2 linked regions of the Arabidopsis thaliana genome follow. The protein of the gene in region 1 interacts with the protein of each later gene in a pairwise test. Each region holds a gene or a part of one and is shown on either strand. Other genes may lie near its edges.

Region 1 (7,535 bases):
GATTTTGTAATATTAACTTACAGAATGAGATACATAGCAACTTAATTTTTAAGTTAACTTCTAAGTTCTTATATAATGTGATAGCTGCATTTTTTGTAAGTATATCATTAAATAATGTGATTGTTAACAATAACCCTACGGAATCCATTTAGAAATGTAATTCACTGGGGAAAATAAAATAACTTGCTTCTGAAGAAATCAATGAGCAAGGAGATTTCATTGGAGCATCTCTCCCCCAGGTTGTTCCGAATCAACTGAGGAAAAAACAGCCAACCAGCGGTCACATTTACAAACGCTATCGTGAACATCCAAGATACGACTGGTCTCACCGGCCACCTCCGTACAAACGCCGTCCTCTTCGCTGCCACTTCCGCCACCGTGCAAACTCCATGTAAGAGAAAGAATAAAGCGACTTCCCCTGTAGGCATCGCACGGGTTATATAAAAGAAAACCACTTCATGAGCCACACCAGAGGTTACAAACGTCGCAAAAACACCAATCAACATTGCATAATCAGAGCTCATTACTCGTTGGCAGACACGCCGCACAGGAGTGTAGACGATTGCCCGAAGACTTGCCGAGACTATGAGGTTCCACCTGCGACCCCAAAAGTCTTGAAGAGATGTGGCTAAGTATGGTTCGTGAAAATGTGGCTCTAGGTCACAACCAAGAATGATAGTCATTAGAATTCTAAGGAGCGTTAAGAGAATCTCAAGTAACAAATATACATACAGTGGATGGAGACACAATAGAAAAGTACGAGGAAGGTTTTGTATGTCGTTATGCACATATAACAACACAACAAAGATTGCAATTTTAACGGGAAAAACATACGTGGACAAATGATCTTGAGATTTAGGGTTTTGTTGACGCTGGATTGGGAAGCAAGTAAAGCAGGTAAATCTGAATAGATTTGAAGGTAGTGGAAAAAGAGGACCTTGATCAAAGGAAAAGAGGATGAGTCTTGAATTGGCAATAGCTGATAAGAAAAACGCTGTGGTGGAAGTGAAAATTGAAAAGGAGAAGAACAGAGGAAGAACAACTAACAAAACACAGACCGGAAAAATAGAGAGTAATCGAAGAACACCAGATTTGATTCTTGGTGGTAAGCAGTAGCAGTAAGATACTGAGATAATTGTTAAAAACCCTACATTGATCAAGCTCTTGATTTCTTCCTCCATCTCTCAGTTTTTTTTTGTTAATGGGTTGCTGAGTTTAAGCAAGTAACATTGGTTTTTGCTACAACTACAACTTACCCACTACTTCCGTTATATCAGTATTAGAATCAGTCCTTGACTCCTTTCTCTGTTTACACAAAAATAAAAAAAAATAAAAATCAGAACTCTTCAAACGCCTCTCTGTAATGTGATTTGATATAGTGTGAATTAGATGAGTAACCAAAAGCGTGCCAACAGCCAACTAATTAATATTCAAAGTAAAGAAGAAAAATAAAAAGAAAGTGAGAAATTGTCAAAGAGTTTATGGTTCATGTTTAGTTGAGACTATCGGTGTAAGGTGGTAGTTCTCCGTATGGGAGAATTCACATGGTTCAACTTCAAGTCAAGTTTAACACTAGACCAGTATACCTAACTGTCCAAAAATATTAATCACCGATTTATTTCATCAAATTATTATAAAGTTATATTTTTAGTATAGACAAATATATGAGGAATTTTCATGAAATACCCCTTTTGAATCTTAGATGTACCAATTTTCGAAAAATACTATTATTCAAAAAGACTACTACTCTACCGGAATATTTTTAGTAAATTTGCCATATTTTTCAGGTTTCTTTATTTTTAGGATAGATGAAAAATGAAGTTTTGTCTTCAACACCTATTAATTTATTTGTAAGATAGTTTAGCGAAAACAAAACAACTTTGATAAATAAACATGTAAATTTTATTAAGGGGAAATTGGAAATAAAAGATAAATATTTAAAAAAATTTCCATCTATACATTTTATGATCAAGATTGGTGACATATGCGTTTAATATAATTTAAATCCCACTATATCTCCAGCTTTTTTATGCTTACAAAATACAAAACAAAAAGTCCAAACCAATTTATTTTTACTTGGAGCAAATCAATATTCTTTTACTTGGAGTCGTCGTTCATCACTTCTTCGATATTGTCTTCCTCTATTCTTCACAAAAATTAAGCTGTTCACTCCTCTCAAATAACTCCAAAACAAAACTCTTTTTTTTTCAATTTATCTTTCTTTATTTCCCTCGCTTCAATTTCTCTTAGAATCTTACCATCTCTTTCTTTAAATATTTATCCTTTGTTTCCAATTTTCCCATTTATTAAAGACTCGTAAACAACCCTAAGAGGATATATAACTTACGATTAAAGAAATCAATTAGAAACAAGTCTTCATTGATGAACCTCTCCATCAAGCCGTGCCTAATAGGCTGGGGGGAAAATAGCCAAACACCAGTCACAAACACAAACCCCACCGTAAGCAGTCTCGACACTGCCGGATTCACCGGCCACCGCTGCACCAACTTCGTCTTCCTCTTCAGTGCCACTTCAGCCGCCATGCAAAACCCATGTAACACAAAGAACCAAGTCACCTCCCATGTAGGCTTCTCACGTGTCAAATAGAAGTAGAGAATCTCGTGAGCCACACCAGAGACGAGGAACGTGGCGAAAATCGCGAAGAACCGATCCCACTCGGAGCTCTTGGCTCGCCATTGCCGTATGGGGTTGTACACTGCGAGCCAGAGAATCTTCGAGACCATGAGGTTCCATCGGTGACCCCAGAAGTCATGTAGAGAGGTGGCTAAGTATGGTTCGTTGAATTGTGGCTCGAGGTCACACCCAAGAGTGATACTGACGAGAAATTTTATCAAGGTTAAGGAAATCTCAAGCTCCAAGTATATATGCAGAGCATAGAGACCCAATAGAAAATTCGTAGATAGAAATTGTTTGTAATGATACGCTTGTAGTAACAAGGCACCAAAGATGAAAACTTTCAGGGCAAAAACCCATTTGGGGAAATGGTTAGTATTTTCAGGGTTAGGTTTTTTTTGAAGCTTGATGGGGAAGCAAGCAAAGCAGACGAAATGAGGGAGATTAGGAGGAAGTGGAAAAAGAGGACCTTTTTCTAATGCAAAGAGGATGAGTTTTGGAACTGCAAGACCTGAGAGGAAAAATGCAATAGTGAAAGAGGAATGAACAGTGGAGAAAAAGATAGGAATAATAAGAAACAAAACACAAACAGGAAGAACAGATAGTAATCGAAGAAGACTGGTTTTGATTTTGGGTGTTAAGTAGTAACAATAAGTTACTGAAATGATTGCAGAAACCCATACTTGGATGAATAACTTGAGTTCTTCCTCCATGGTTACTGGTTAAGTGATAATAAACCAAGAAACATAGGAAAAATGTTTACAGTTGTAGTATATAAGCGTGGGAGCAATTAATAAAGACAGTATGTTTGTTACACATTTAAGGGAAAAAACTATTGGCAGTTGTTGAGTAGTTAATGGCTCTGGAAAATCTATCAAATTAAGTACTTTCCTCTTTTATGATATAGTAATATAGTACTAGTAGTGTATGTAAAAATAAAAAAAAATAAGTATGACTACCGTTTATAGTTTTTCTTTTCAACGTCTTAAATATTGAATTTTTTTATGAAAAAGTTAGCAGAGCAGAGCATAATTAACACTCGTAAAAAACAGTGAAATAAAACTAAGGTTGTCGTTTCTCCTTAATGCGATTATGAAGCCATGCGGGACCTCCCGTTCTAAGTACGAGTTGAAACGCACCCATCTCTCGTAACACAACTACACAAGCAATATCAATATATCATAAAAATTCGTTTTCGCCTGGAACTAAAGAATTTGAATGATTCAAAACCTGCAATAAGTTGACGAATTCTACCGATGAGGGAGCAATGAAGCTTCTATTTCTTAAATAATTTGACAGCAGAGTAAACATTTTGACCTATGCTTGACGTTATATGGGAAATCCATATAGTTTTTTTCTTCCTCTCGCTAACGCTCTTTGGCGATCTTTCCTCCCAACTATGTTGTATTTAGATAATCTCTCTACAAAGGGTTCACGTGAACATGACACAAACAGTAGTCGAGGGAACAAAAATTGATCGATCGATAGGAAGTGTTGGTTTGGTTCCAAGTAACACTATTATTTCATTCTTTAGTTCCAAGTAAAAACAAATCGTCATGTACAACGAACTTGGAACTGAAGCAAGTCAGTTTTTTTAGGGTTTGATAAGAAAGAAAGAAACGGCATGAAGAGACCAAGAGACATGCTGGCAGCATCTTAAAGAGTTTCTACTAATTCCAACTTGCCGACATCTTCAACAAGACAAGTTCGATTCATTTCAAGATAAGTAGTTGACCATTATGGACTTTGATGCTCAACCGGACTCAATAACGTTAACTCGTGCTCATTTAACACTCGTTATAAAATATCCCCAACAACGTAAATAAAATAACTTATCGCTTAATGAACTCAACGAGCAACACAGCTTCAGATGTGAATCTCTCCATCACCCCGCTCCTTTTAAGCTGAGGTGTAAACAACCAACCACCAGTCACAAACACAAACCCCACCGTGAGAACCCGCGACACCCCCGGACTCAACCGCCACCGCTGTGCTACCGTCGTTTTCTTCTTCACCGCCAATTCTACAGCAGTACAAACGCCATGTAACACAAAGAACAGAGTAACTTCTCCTGTAGGCATCTCACGTATCAAATAGAAGAAGAGCAATTCGTGAACCAAACCGGAGACGATAAACGCTGCCAAAATCCCCGGAAACAGAGCCCAACCGGAACTCATTTTGCGTTCAGAGACTCGCCGCATTGGTGCGTAAACGGCTGGCCGGAGAATCGCCGGAACCATGAGATTCCACCGGCGACCCCAGAAGTCTTGTAGAGATGTGGCTAAGTACGGTTTATTGGACTGTGGCTCAAGATCGCAGCCAAGAGAGATAAAAACAACAACTTTAACAAACGTTAATATAATCTCAATCTCTAAGTAGAGATGCACAAAATAGAGACCTAATAGTATAGTCGGAGACAGATTTTGTCTGTAGCTATACAAATGTAATAGCACTGCAAAGATTGCAAGTTTAATGGCGAAAACCAATTTGGGCAAATGGTTTTGAGATTTAGGGTTTTGCTGAACCTTGATGGGGAAGCAAGTGAAGCAGAAGAATCGAGGGAAATTTGTTGGAATTGGGATTAAAGGACCTTTATCGAAGGAGAAGAGGATGAGTTTGAAATTAGCAAGCCATGTGAGGAAAAACGCTGTGATTAAAGATAAATGCAGAGAGGAGAAAAACAGAGGAAGAACAAGAAACAGAGCAAGAACAGGGGAAACAGAGAGGAATCGAGGAGCACCAGATTTGATTCTAGGTGGTATGTAGTAACAATAAGATATCGAGATTATTGCAGAAACCCATACTTTGATCAAGTTCTTGAGTTCTTCATCCATCTCTCAGATCTTTGTTTGTGTTGTTGTTTTTGGCAATCACCGAGGTTATAACTTATTACTTGGCTATTTTTTTATGTGTCTTGAAATGGGAAAAACTATAGTTACATTGTTACAGAGGCAACCTCAATTACATAAAGTAGGTGAGAGGTAGATCAAAGGCTACAAAGAAGAGCATTAATATTGAGTCATTGGGTAGTTGTGGAGTGTTGAGTAGTAAATGTAACAAATATTGTAAAATATCTCCTTGGAATGAGGATCGGAGAATGGTTGGTCATTTGGTCTAAGTAAGAAATTCTGGTCGCGTGATAAAGTGATAAGAATCGTTGTTAGTTTTTTTTACAAGGACACAATAAACTTTAGTTAAGCATTTTTGTATAACCACTACATTTCTTTACTAATGATATTTACATTCTTATAAAAACAAAAAAGTATCATTGTTAGTTTTATAAGTTATAACAGCATTCGAAAGTAAGCCTTAGCTAAAATGGGTAGAAGATTAATGCATTATGGAGATTTTTACCTTGGGGTTTTAATCATTCTACCATTTTCCTCCCAAAATCCCATCTCTAGCAATTTCACGAAGTGTACTAGAGGTAAGTCACTTTTACCAATTTCTCATTTTCTCCAACATCTTATTATTTTAATTGAACATGTCTCATGACATAATTATATTAAATTAAACCAAGTGTCCGATAAGTTAACAAAATTAGACAGAATATAGCATAACATAATCAAAATATAAGCAAAATATAAGCAAAATAAGTAGAAGTTATATGGTCAATTCTGAGCAAAACACTTTTGATGGCAACTAACTACACCAATTCACGAAGTAGTGCAACAATCCGAATGACTTAAAAACAAAAGAAAATTATAATAGTGAATAGACAGAAGTTTGGTTTAGTCCAATCAACCCGGTATTAGATCTCTCTTTGGTTGCAGTCCAACATGTGTGATTAAAAATGGTTTGTGTAAACGTAATCTAAAATCCTCGTTTAATTACACTTTTTATTACGCATAGTTGGATCAGAGAGCAATTATTGGTTTAAGATGTTCACTTGTATAAGAACATAAGATGGTGCACTTACATAATCACTTGCAATGGTCCACTACACAAACCAAATTTAAATTGTCCAATATAAGTCGAATATATAAATCAAACACTTGTTTTGTCTTATTCAACTCAAATTGTCCACAAAACTTTTAGATTTGTATTTTATAAAATATATCTAGACTTAGAAAGTAGAAACAATGACGTTGTTTCCACGATTTGACATTTACCAAAGCCGTTTCAATCACAGAATATCTCTTTAGTTCTCTTCCCAAATCATCAAAAGTAATATGATTGATAAAATTAGCTATAACCATAAATCTACGATTTTAGCGATTGGTTTCTACAAAGGTAGAAAAACTTGTGCTTGACGAAACCAATAAACAAAAAGGCTTCGTCAGCTAGTCTCTCGATCATGCCACTCCTTGCAAGGTGAGGGAAAAACAACCAACCACCGGTCATAACAACAAATCCCACCGTGAGCAGTCGTGAAACCATCTGACTCACCTTCCATCGCCGCACCAACCTCGTCCTCTTCGCAGCGCATTCAGCGGCAGTGCAAACTCCATGTAATACAAAGAACAAAGTGACTTCACCTGTCGGCGATTCACGTGTAAAATAGAAGAAAATAAGCTCGTGAACCACACCGGAAACAAGGAACGAGGCAAAAACTCCCAAGAACAAAGCCTGATCAGAGTTCATTTTCCGACCGGCCATTTGTCGCACCGGGAGGTAGACAGCCGGCCGGAGAATCGCCGGGACCATGAGGTTCCATCGACGACCCCAGAAGTCTTGAAGAGAGGTGGATAAGTATGGTTCATTGAAATGCGGCTCGAGGTCGCACCAAAGAGAGATACTAAGCAGAACTTTCAAGGGAGCTAAGAGAATCTCATACTCCAAGTATATATGCAGAGAATAGAGAACCAATAGAACAGTCGGAGACATATGTTGTTTGTATTCATACATATGCAACAACACACCAAAGAAGGCAAGTTTAACTGCGAAACCCCATTTAGGCA
Region 2 (7,588 bases), about 22 Mb from region 1:
TTGAATAACAAATTAGCGATATAAACAATTCTCACTTATTCTGTTTAAAAAAACGATTATTGGTAGTTTGGTACTACTACTCAATAATCATAGAAGACCATGAAAACGAAATCCACGTAGTATGTGTATAATCACAAACGGTCAAACATTTAACATTAGCATAAATTCTTGTCACGTGGCAATATTGTGGCGGTAGAATTTTAACATTGTGGTTAGCTTCACCATTAAATCTGTTAAAAGCGCTTCCTCACTCACTCTTCTTCCCCAAAAAAAAAACAAGACAGAGGAAGAGAATCACGAAACCATAGTCCCAAACCCTTCGAATCTATAAGCATTTCTCAAACACAATCAAGAAACTGTGTTTAGCTTTTAGATTTCTACAAGCATGTAAGACGAGATTTTGTTTCTTTTTTTTCTGCATGGTGGATCGAACGGTGAGAATGGGGACGGAGGTGAAGTCGATTAGGGTTCCAAGAAGGGTCTGGTTTGGATCACAAATATCTATAGTTCTCCTCGTGGGTGGAAACCATACCTCCTCCAGGTTTTGTACTCGCTAGATTCTTCGATTTTCTCTTTGCGATTCTTCTTTGTTCTTAAGATCTGTTTAGCAAATCGTACTAGACATTAATCATATTTTAAGATTCCATCGGAGCTGAAGTATTTGAAGAAATCAATGGGTATAAAGATCTTGAAGCTTAATATCTTCCGTGGATCTACGAATAGGCATGCTCTGTTTCGTGCTCTCATCATCGCCTCTGCTCTATCTGTTGTCCCTTTGTTGGAGTTAACCGCTAAAAATCACGTCTTTGGTGATCATGGAGCAGTGGATTTGGTCGATCTCGGCCGATTTGTTATTCCAGGACCGAAATTGTTCTTCCATAAGCTCGTTCAACCATTCTGGGGTAAAATTGAGACAGAGAAGTATCCACAAGTGGTAATTGCTGATCTCGTTGATGAGCTCATGGGGTTAAAGCTATTGCATTATGATGCTAAGATTCTCTGCATTGGTCAGGGATCGGATTCTGCTGTTTCAGGGTTCAAAGAGATGGGTTTCTCAGTTGTTCAAGGGGTTCCTAAGCATCCATTGTTTTCCTTTTTCAGTAGGAAGCATGTCAACGAGCTTGAGCTTAGTGGTGACAAGTCTTTTGATTTCGTGCTCTGTGGGGATGTTGATCATGTTGCTTCCCCTGCTCTTCTTGTGCTTGAGATGGAGCGGGTTCTGAAGCCTGGTGGAACCGGAGCAGTCCTTGTGAGTACTAATGCCAATCGTCTTGTCAAATCCGTGACTTCGGGGCTTAAGCAGTCTGAGATAGTGCGTGTGAACAACTTGGATAAGTTCACCGTCATTGTATTCAAGAGGAATGTAACGGAGACTGCTTATTGTATTGGAAAGTCTCAGCTACCAAGAGATTGCAAATCTGTTGACACCAATAGACCTTACACAGAGTTCATGGAACCTCTACTGGAGCAAAAGCCTGCTGATTTCCCAAAATCAGTAGCTTACTTACCTAAATTCCTTGATCTCTCTCTGAAAAAGAGCCTTGTCTACATTGACATTGGAGCAGCCGAGCACATGGATGCTAATTTAACTCCAAACTGGTTCTTTCCGTTATACCCACTCGACAGCAAAGCATTCAATGTCTACTTTGTCGACCACAACACTTCAGTAATGCTATCCTATGTCAAGAAACCCGGCGTCACCTTTGTTTACCATCCGGATTTGGCTGAGAACAACTCGACAGGGAAAAAGATAACTCCGCTTGAACAGCTAGAACCATTTCCAGAAGATGAGAGATTCGATTTCCTTGCTTGGTTTGAGGAAACTGCGAAATACGCAGACTTTGTAGTCCTTAAGATGAACACAAACCAAGTGGAAATGAAGTTCCTAACTGTTTTACTGGAAACAGGAGTCATATGCTACGTGGATGAGCTTTTCCTCCGCTGTTCCAACCACAAGTCAGACTGCATCAACATGCTTCAAACTCTGAGAGCCAGAGGTGTGTTTGTTCATCAATGGTGGGAAGACTAAACCAATGTAAAACTCAATCTCGCTTCGCCTTAGTCTTATCTACGTCGATTCGTGTCTGTCTTTGTCTCAGTTGTAATGCCATCACCTTCTGTGTTTGCCATAGTTGGTCCTCGGCCACCACAGCTCCTGGCCAAGCACCTATAACTAAATAAGAAGCTGCCTATCTGTTTATCATTGCTATTTAAGAACTCAGTTTCCACTTATAATATATTGAACCATAACGTTTTACGTCTTAATTAAGCATGGCATATATTACACAAGTCGATTGCTTAACTAAATTTGTTCATTCTCCATCTCCATTTCATCCGTTCTTGTTAATCTCCAAAAGCATCTCAACAGGTTGTCTGCAAACTGGGCACAGATTTGTCTGAAACCTTAACGCCTTTGCGCACCCGCTACACATACACTGCCAAACAGAAATACACAAACCATTTCAAAAGAAGTTCAATTTTTTTTTTATATGAGCTAATTTTAAGTATGATGAACACTATACCATGTGTCTGCAAGGAAGAACAGTTGTATCGCGTGGTTCAGACAAGCATACAACACATTCCTTTCCCTCATCGGAACCATCAACCGTGTTCTCAATCCCATAAATCTCAAGCAGCTCATACCTCCTCTTATTCACCCATAGTATCTGCTTCACCACTTCTATTTTAATCTCTCCTTTCTCCTTGGTATACACCACTTGAGTAATCTGCACATTGGTGGAACCAGACTTTCCTTCTTCCGCTGGAGTTGCCTCCGCCTTAACCGCCAACGGGAAGACATCTGTATCCACCTCCTTGAATAGCTCGGAATCTTTAAACGCCGTCAAGTCTATACCCGTTCCAGATGATTGTATGAACTTCTGACCAAGTCCTTCTCCGAAATCAAAAGTGATTGGAGGCAAAGTATCTTCCTTTGTAGCTCTAAGATTACATTCTGCATCTTCTGTAGCAAAGAAAACAACTGTGATCCTGTTCTCGCCAACCAAAACAACAAAAGCTAAGTCATTTATATTACTCCATTGATTGATTCAAACAAGATTCAAACTTTTAACTAAATTTGATCATTTCATAGTTTGAAAGTAAAACCTTCCGGGCATGGATGCATCAAATGTGAAGGAGACAAGAAGTCGATTCGGATTCTCCGGGTCGGGTATGAGCGTTAAAGTCTTCTTCTTCAGATTAACATCGTTACGAATCGTGACGGCTTTCTGGTGGACGTACGTAGGAGGCGGCAGTATAGGGTATCTACCGCCGTGAAACAAAGGATGAGGTAGTTGGTAACTGTTGGGAGGATAGTGATGCAAATGGTTGAAATTGTACGGTAGCATCGGCGGCTCAGTTACTGGCGGAGGAAGGCAGTTACCTGGATACTGGTCAACGTAGTTAGGGTTAGGGTTCAGATATGGTGGCACGGCGGCGAATACAAATCTGTTCGGTGGGAGTTCAAGAGGAGCCGTTTCCATCGCCGGAGGAATATTGCTCCTCTGCCTTCTCCCGCAGCAGAAGATCAAACTGATCAGATTCCCCATGATCGGAAAAAGAAAAAAGGTGAGGTTTTTCGGTGATTCAGTTGATAAGGAGTAGAATCGAAGTAGGTTTTATGATCATTGAGAAAGGGGAGTAATGAGATTGGAGATAGCGACGTCGACGAAGAAACACCAAAACGTTTATTTGTATATATTATAAATTAGTATTAAACTTGATTAATTACCATGGGAAATTGATTATTACTTTTAATCACATAAAACAAAGAAATCATTATCAGTAGCACTAGGCAGGCAATAGGCCCAAGGCCTCACAACAATATCACGGTTACAAAATAAGAAGAAACGAAATGACAAAACCGGAGACACGAGATTGGTTTTGGAGGTTGATCGGAAAACAAAGAAACACATCCATTAATACCGGCGATTACAAGAAGCACTGCTCGTCATTAAGAAACATCTTGCACTGATCGTCATTAAGAAACATCTTCTCTTATGTCTGATTATATAGGAGATCATAATAACGTCGATAAAAAAGAGTTTAAAGTGGAAATCAACCAAGAAATAGAAAGCACTATCAAGATATATTTCAAAATGAATATTTCATTAAAATGGATTAAAAAATAATTAAACACTCGAGTTTTGATCTTGTCTTGTTAAAATTTTACTCATCGTGTTCCTCATAAATTGTCCCCAGCGAAGGCGAAGCTGAAACCCTCATCGGATAAACAAGAATCGCCGGTACAGTTTCGAATGGTCCGATCATCCTAGCCATGATTTGTAAATATACTCTTTCTTCGATTTAGACTTCGGCAGCTTTCGACTGTGTTGAGAAGATCTATGTGGAAATTATTGTTATTGCTGATATTTATAGAGATAGAGAGGAATAGTAGTAGTGTAATTAACTAATCATCAAGTGATCTTTATATATTTGTATACTTTTTTATAGGACGCAGCTTAATACTTATCGCACGTGATATTTATGTTTCATATTTAGGTGATGCTCGAAAGTTGAAACATAAGTATGCGTACACTGCTTTAGTTTGCAGATAAATCATACATGTCTTTATTAAAAATTAATGTAAATTAGATTCTTTTGGTTGAGAAAATGATCGCACCAAACAGAAATAGCGGTGAGACTGGTTTCAGGTTTAAGTTTGGTTTGATATTTGAAGATACTGATTTTTTGTCGTGGACCGGTTATCGTCCCGGTTCGGTTAGAAAGTATATTAAGATTTGTCTTTAATTACCAACTCGTGAGCATATAACAACAGATCACCGAGCGTACAAGATGTGAAAGTTGAATGAAAATTTCACAAAGAACTGAGATTTGATTGTACAAAAGATACAATACAAAATCTCATCTTATACAGTTATAGAAAAAACAACAACAACAACAAGAGTCTATCTTAAACCCAAGACCGAGTAACAAAATGATCATTACAATTTACACGTCCTCGTTTTCTTGTTCTTGATTGTCTTCTTCGGTCTCTCCGCCTTCTAAAATCGTCTCAAGAATCGGAGAAACCGATGGCTTCGCCGGAGAAATGATTTGTGGAGGAACAGCCTCCATCCACCACGCCACATCCACCACCACCGTCAGATTCTGATCGCACCGATTATCAAAGAAACACATATTCGCTTCACTAGATATTATTTTAGATTTGCGGAAGTAATTCAAATTGTTACTTTTTGAGTTGAATTGATACGTGTTCATTTGTTCGTATTTATAGAGAGATTGACGCGTGGAGATATGTGGAACAATGATGGGTTTGACGTAAGAGTCGGACAAGTGGACGATCCACAATGTTTAAGTTAGTTTGTTGACTTGGTCTTATTTGCTAATAATAATGAAACCAACACGAATATTCTAGAACCTCTTGTTGTCGTCATTATCAACAAGTCTCGAATGTGCAACACGTGTGAGCTCTTGTCTCACACGTCTATATCTCCGCTAAGATTTTTTTTTGTTGTTGTCAATGTTAGGATATTTCTTTATGCGTCGTATATTGCAAAATACTAGACACACACTTAGGGTTTGAAGTTTCTCAGCAATTGTGTGGGTACGCTTTGGACAAATACACTACTCTACAAATTAGTTTAGACCGCGTTTGACTCGGTAACGTTAGAAGCAGATTAGACACTAATTAGGCCCAAGTTAAACTATCATGGGCTCATTCGTAAACTTAGTTCTAATGGGCTCTCAACATCAGATCTTAATATTTATAGAGAGCATGAGGTCAAATGCGTAGTTCCGTATATGAGAATTATGAAACTGAACCCATAAGCATTTTAATCACGCTGAGGAAAGTAGCCACTTCTCGTTTAACTAATACGGTAATACCTCATTCTGCCTGTTTTATTGATTTGTTTGGATATTTTGGTGCAATTCGATTAAAAATGTACCTAGAAAACAAAATTAAAATTGAGAAAATAAAAAACGTACCAATTGATAGAAAAAAAGATTATTGTACGCTGAAAAAGTAGAAAGAACTAGATAATTTTTAGTGATGACAAAAACGAAAATCTTCTTTGTGAACTTAAATCGCTGGAAAACATGCCATATGCAGAGTTAATCAAAACATTATTAGCAATCAATTGATATATGTATATATAAATATAAGATGCCTTAGCTTTTTCTTATATATATAATTAGGTTAATTAGAAAATAAGTCAATGGCCTGAAAAGGATTGGATAAGATAAGGATATTTGAAAGGTTGCTTTCATTCTTCTTGCAATTTCCCCCTTATTTTAGTTTTCTTAGCTTATAGAATTCATCCCTCATTTTCCGTCATTTGATATTATAACATAAGATGCATGAGGACGACAAAAATAGAAATAATAAGTGAATAGGTAGGTATACCATGTACTTGTCACTAGACGATTCGATATTTTACATAGAGATTAATCTATTTCTAGGGAATTATTGGCACCTTATGATCGAACATGTCACCTAAAAAAAGTGAGCTTATCACATCGCATAAGTTTTGCAAAAATATTCTTAAACTAATTTTTTAATGTATGTCAGAATAATGTTTCATCAATCGAGAATATGGATTAGAGATATAATTCACTAGCAAAATTTTACAAACGGATTCTTTTTTCTTTTTTTTTTGATAACCGAAATTGATATATGCTTGTATAGGGTGGTCGAAGCTAAGGTCTACCATAGTTAATTGCTAATTTAATTATTATTAGTTGTAAAACACACAAGATGACATCATTATTTGATCTAACACAATAAAAATAGAATTAGGCAAATGAAAATCGGTTTAGTAAACGACAAATCAACAATGTCATGTGTTTTGTTTTCTGATTTTGGTTCAATTTAATTATTTCAAAATAATTTTCTTGATATCCAAAGATCCATTTTTAATTCTTTTATGAGAGAGGTTAGAGCTTTTACCCTCAAAGGCCTCGAAGCTATTTTTTATTTTTATTTTTTTTTGTAATGTGTCATTTTTAGGAGTCCATTTTTCGAACATAACATAAGCATAGATACAATACGGAGCTGATCATTTGACATAATATGAAATTTTCCAACAGTTATTTGTTCGGTGATAAAACAATAATTGAAATCCCAACAAGTAGAAGATATGCAACTAACAAGAAAGATTACGATCATACGGCTGAACAATGAGAATTTGATGTTTCTTAATCACGTAGGATTCTATGCATAATTAGAATATATAGGAATATTATTAAAGACAAGAGAAGATTTAAGAAGCTCGATTATTATCTTACTACATGCATTATTATTATTTGTTTTTTTTCTTGGTACTTGTGTTTTGTTATGTATCTCAAAGCTCCAATTATGTAGAGGTCATCGACCAATAATTAATCAATTGACCACACTACTCTATATTTTAAATAGTAATTGGTTCAACAGGCAAAGACGCTCTTTTATTTGACGATTATTTTCTAGTATAATAAAATCTCACAAACGTCATAATTTAGTTGTAAGGAAAGCAATAGTATAAAAGAAGTATAGGTAGTGTGAGTGCGACAAAGGAAATAAAACACATACAAGACTTGAAACTATTTATGAATTATGACTTCTTTGTTTTAGTAAGCTAAAGTGATA

What was found. Proteins that work in one complex are often made in the same cells at the same time.
Region 2: the proteins of AT5G55330 (region 1) and LUL1 interact in a protein complementation assay, tested with the Arabidopsis thaliana proteins (one large-scale study listed by BioGRID).

Annotation. Positions count from the first base shown.
Region 1 is NC_003076.8:22,435,519-22,443,053, forward strand, and holds AT5G55330 (MBOAT (membrane bound O-acyl transferase) family protein), read right to left. Parts: upstream 3,367-7,535; 5' UTR 3,348-3,366; coding exon 2,307-3,347; 3' UTR 1,953-2,306; downstream 1-1,952. Other genes in the region: AT5G55320 (MBOAT (membrane bound O-acyl transferase) family protein), read right to left, coding at 162-1,181; AT5G55340 (MBOAT (membrane bound O-acyl transferase) family protein), read right to left, coding at 4,467-5,468; AT5G55350 (MBOAT (membrane bound O-acyl transferase) family protein), read right to left, coding at 6,838-7,535. UniProt on the Arabidopsis thaliana protein: Catalyzes the final step in the synthesis of long-chain linear esters (waxes).
Region 2 is NC_003076.8:758,120-765,707, forward strand, and holds LUL1 (RING/U-box superfamily protein), read right to left. Parts: upstream 3,722-7,588; 5' UTR 3,549-3,721; coding exon 3,106-3,548; intron 2,989-3,105; coding exon 2,523-2,988; intron 2,436-2,522; coding exon 2,331-2,435; 3' UTR 2,200-2,330; downstream 1-2,199. Other genes in the region: CPUORF47 (peptide upstream protein), read left to right, coding at 420-541, 724-2,029; AT5G03204 (uncharacterized protein), read right to left, coding at 4,168-4,278; DIP2 (E3 ubiquitin-protein ligase), read right to left, coding at 4,951-5,220. UniProt on the Arabidopsis thaliana protein: Acts as an E3 ubiquitin-protein ligase, or as part of E3 complex, which accepts ubiquitin from specific E2 ubiquitin-conjugating enzymes and then transfers it to substrates (in vitro).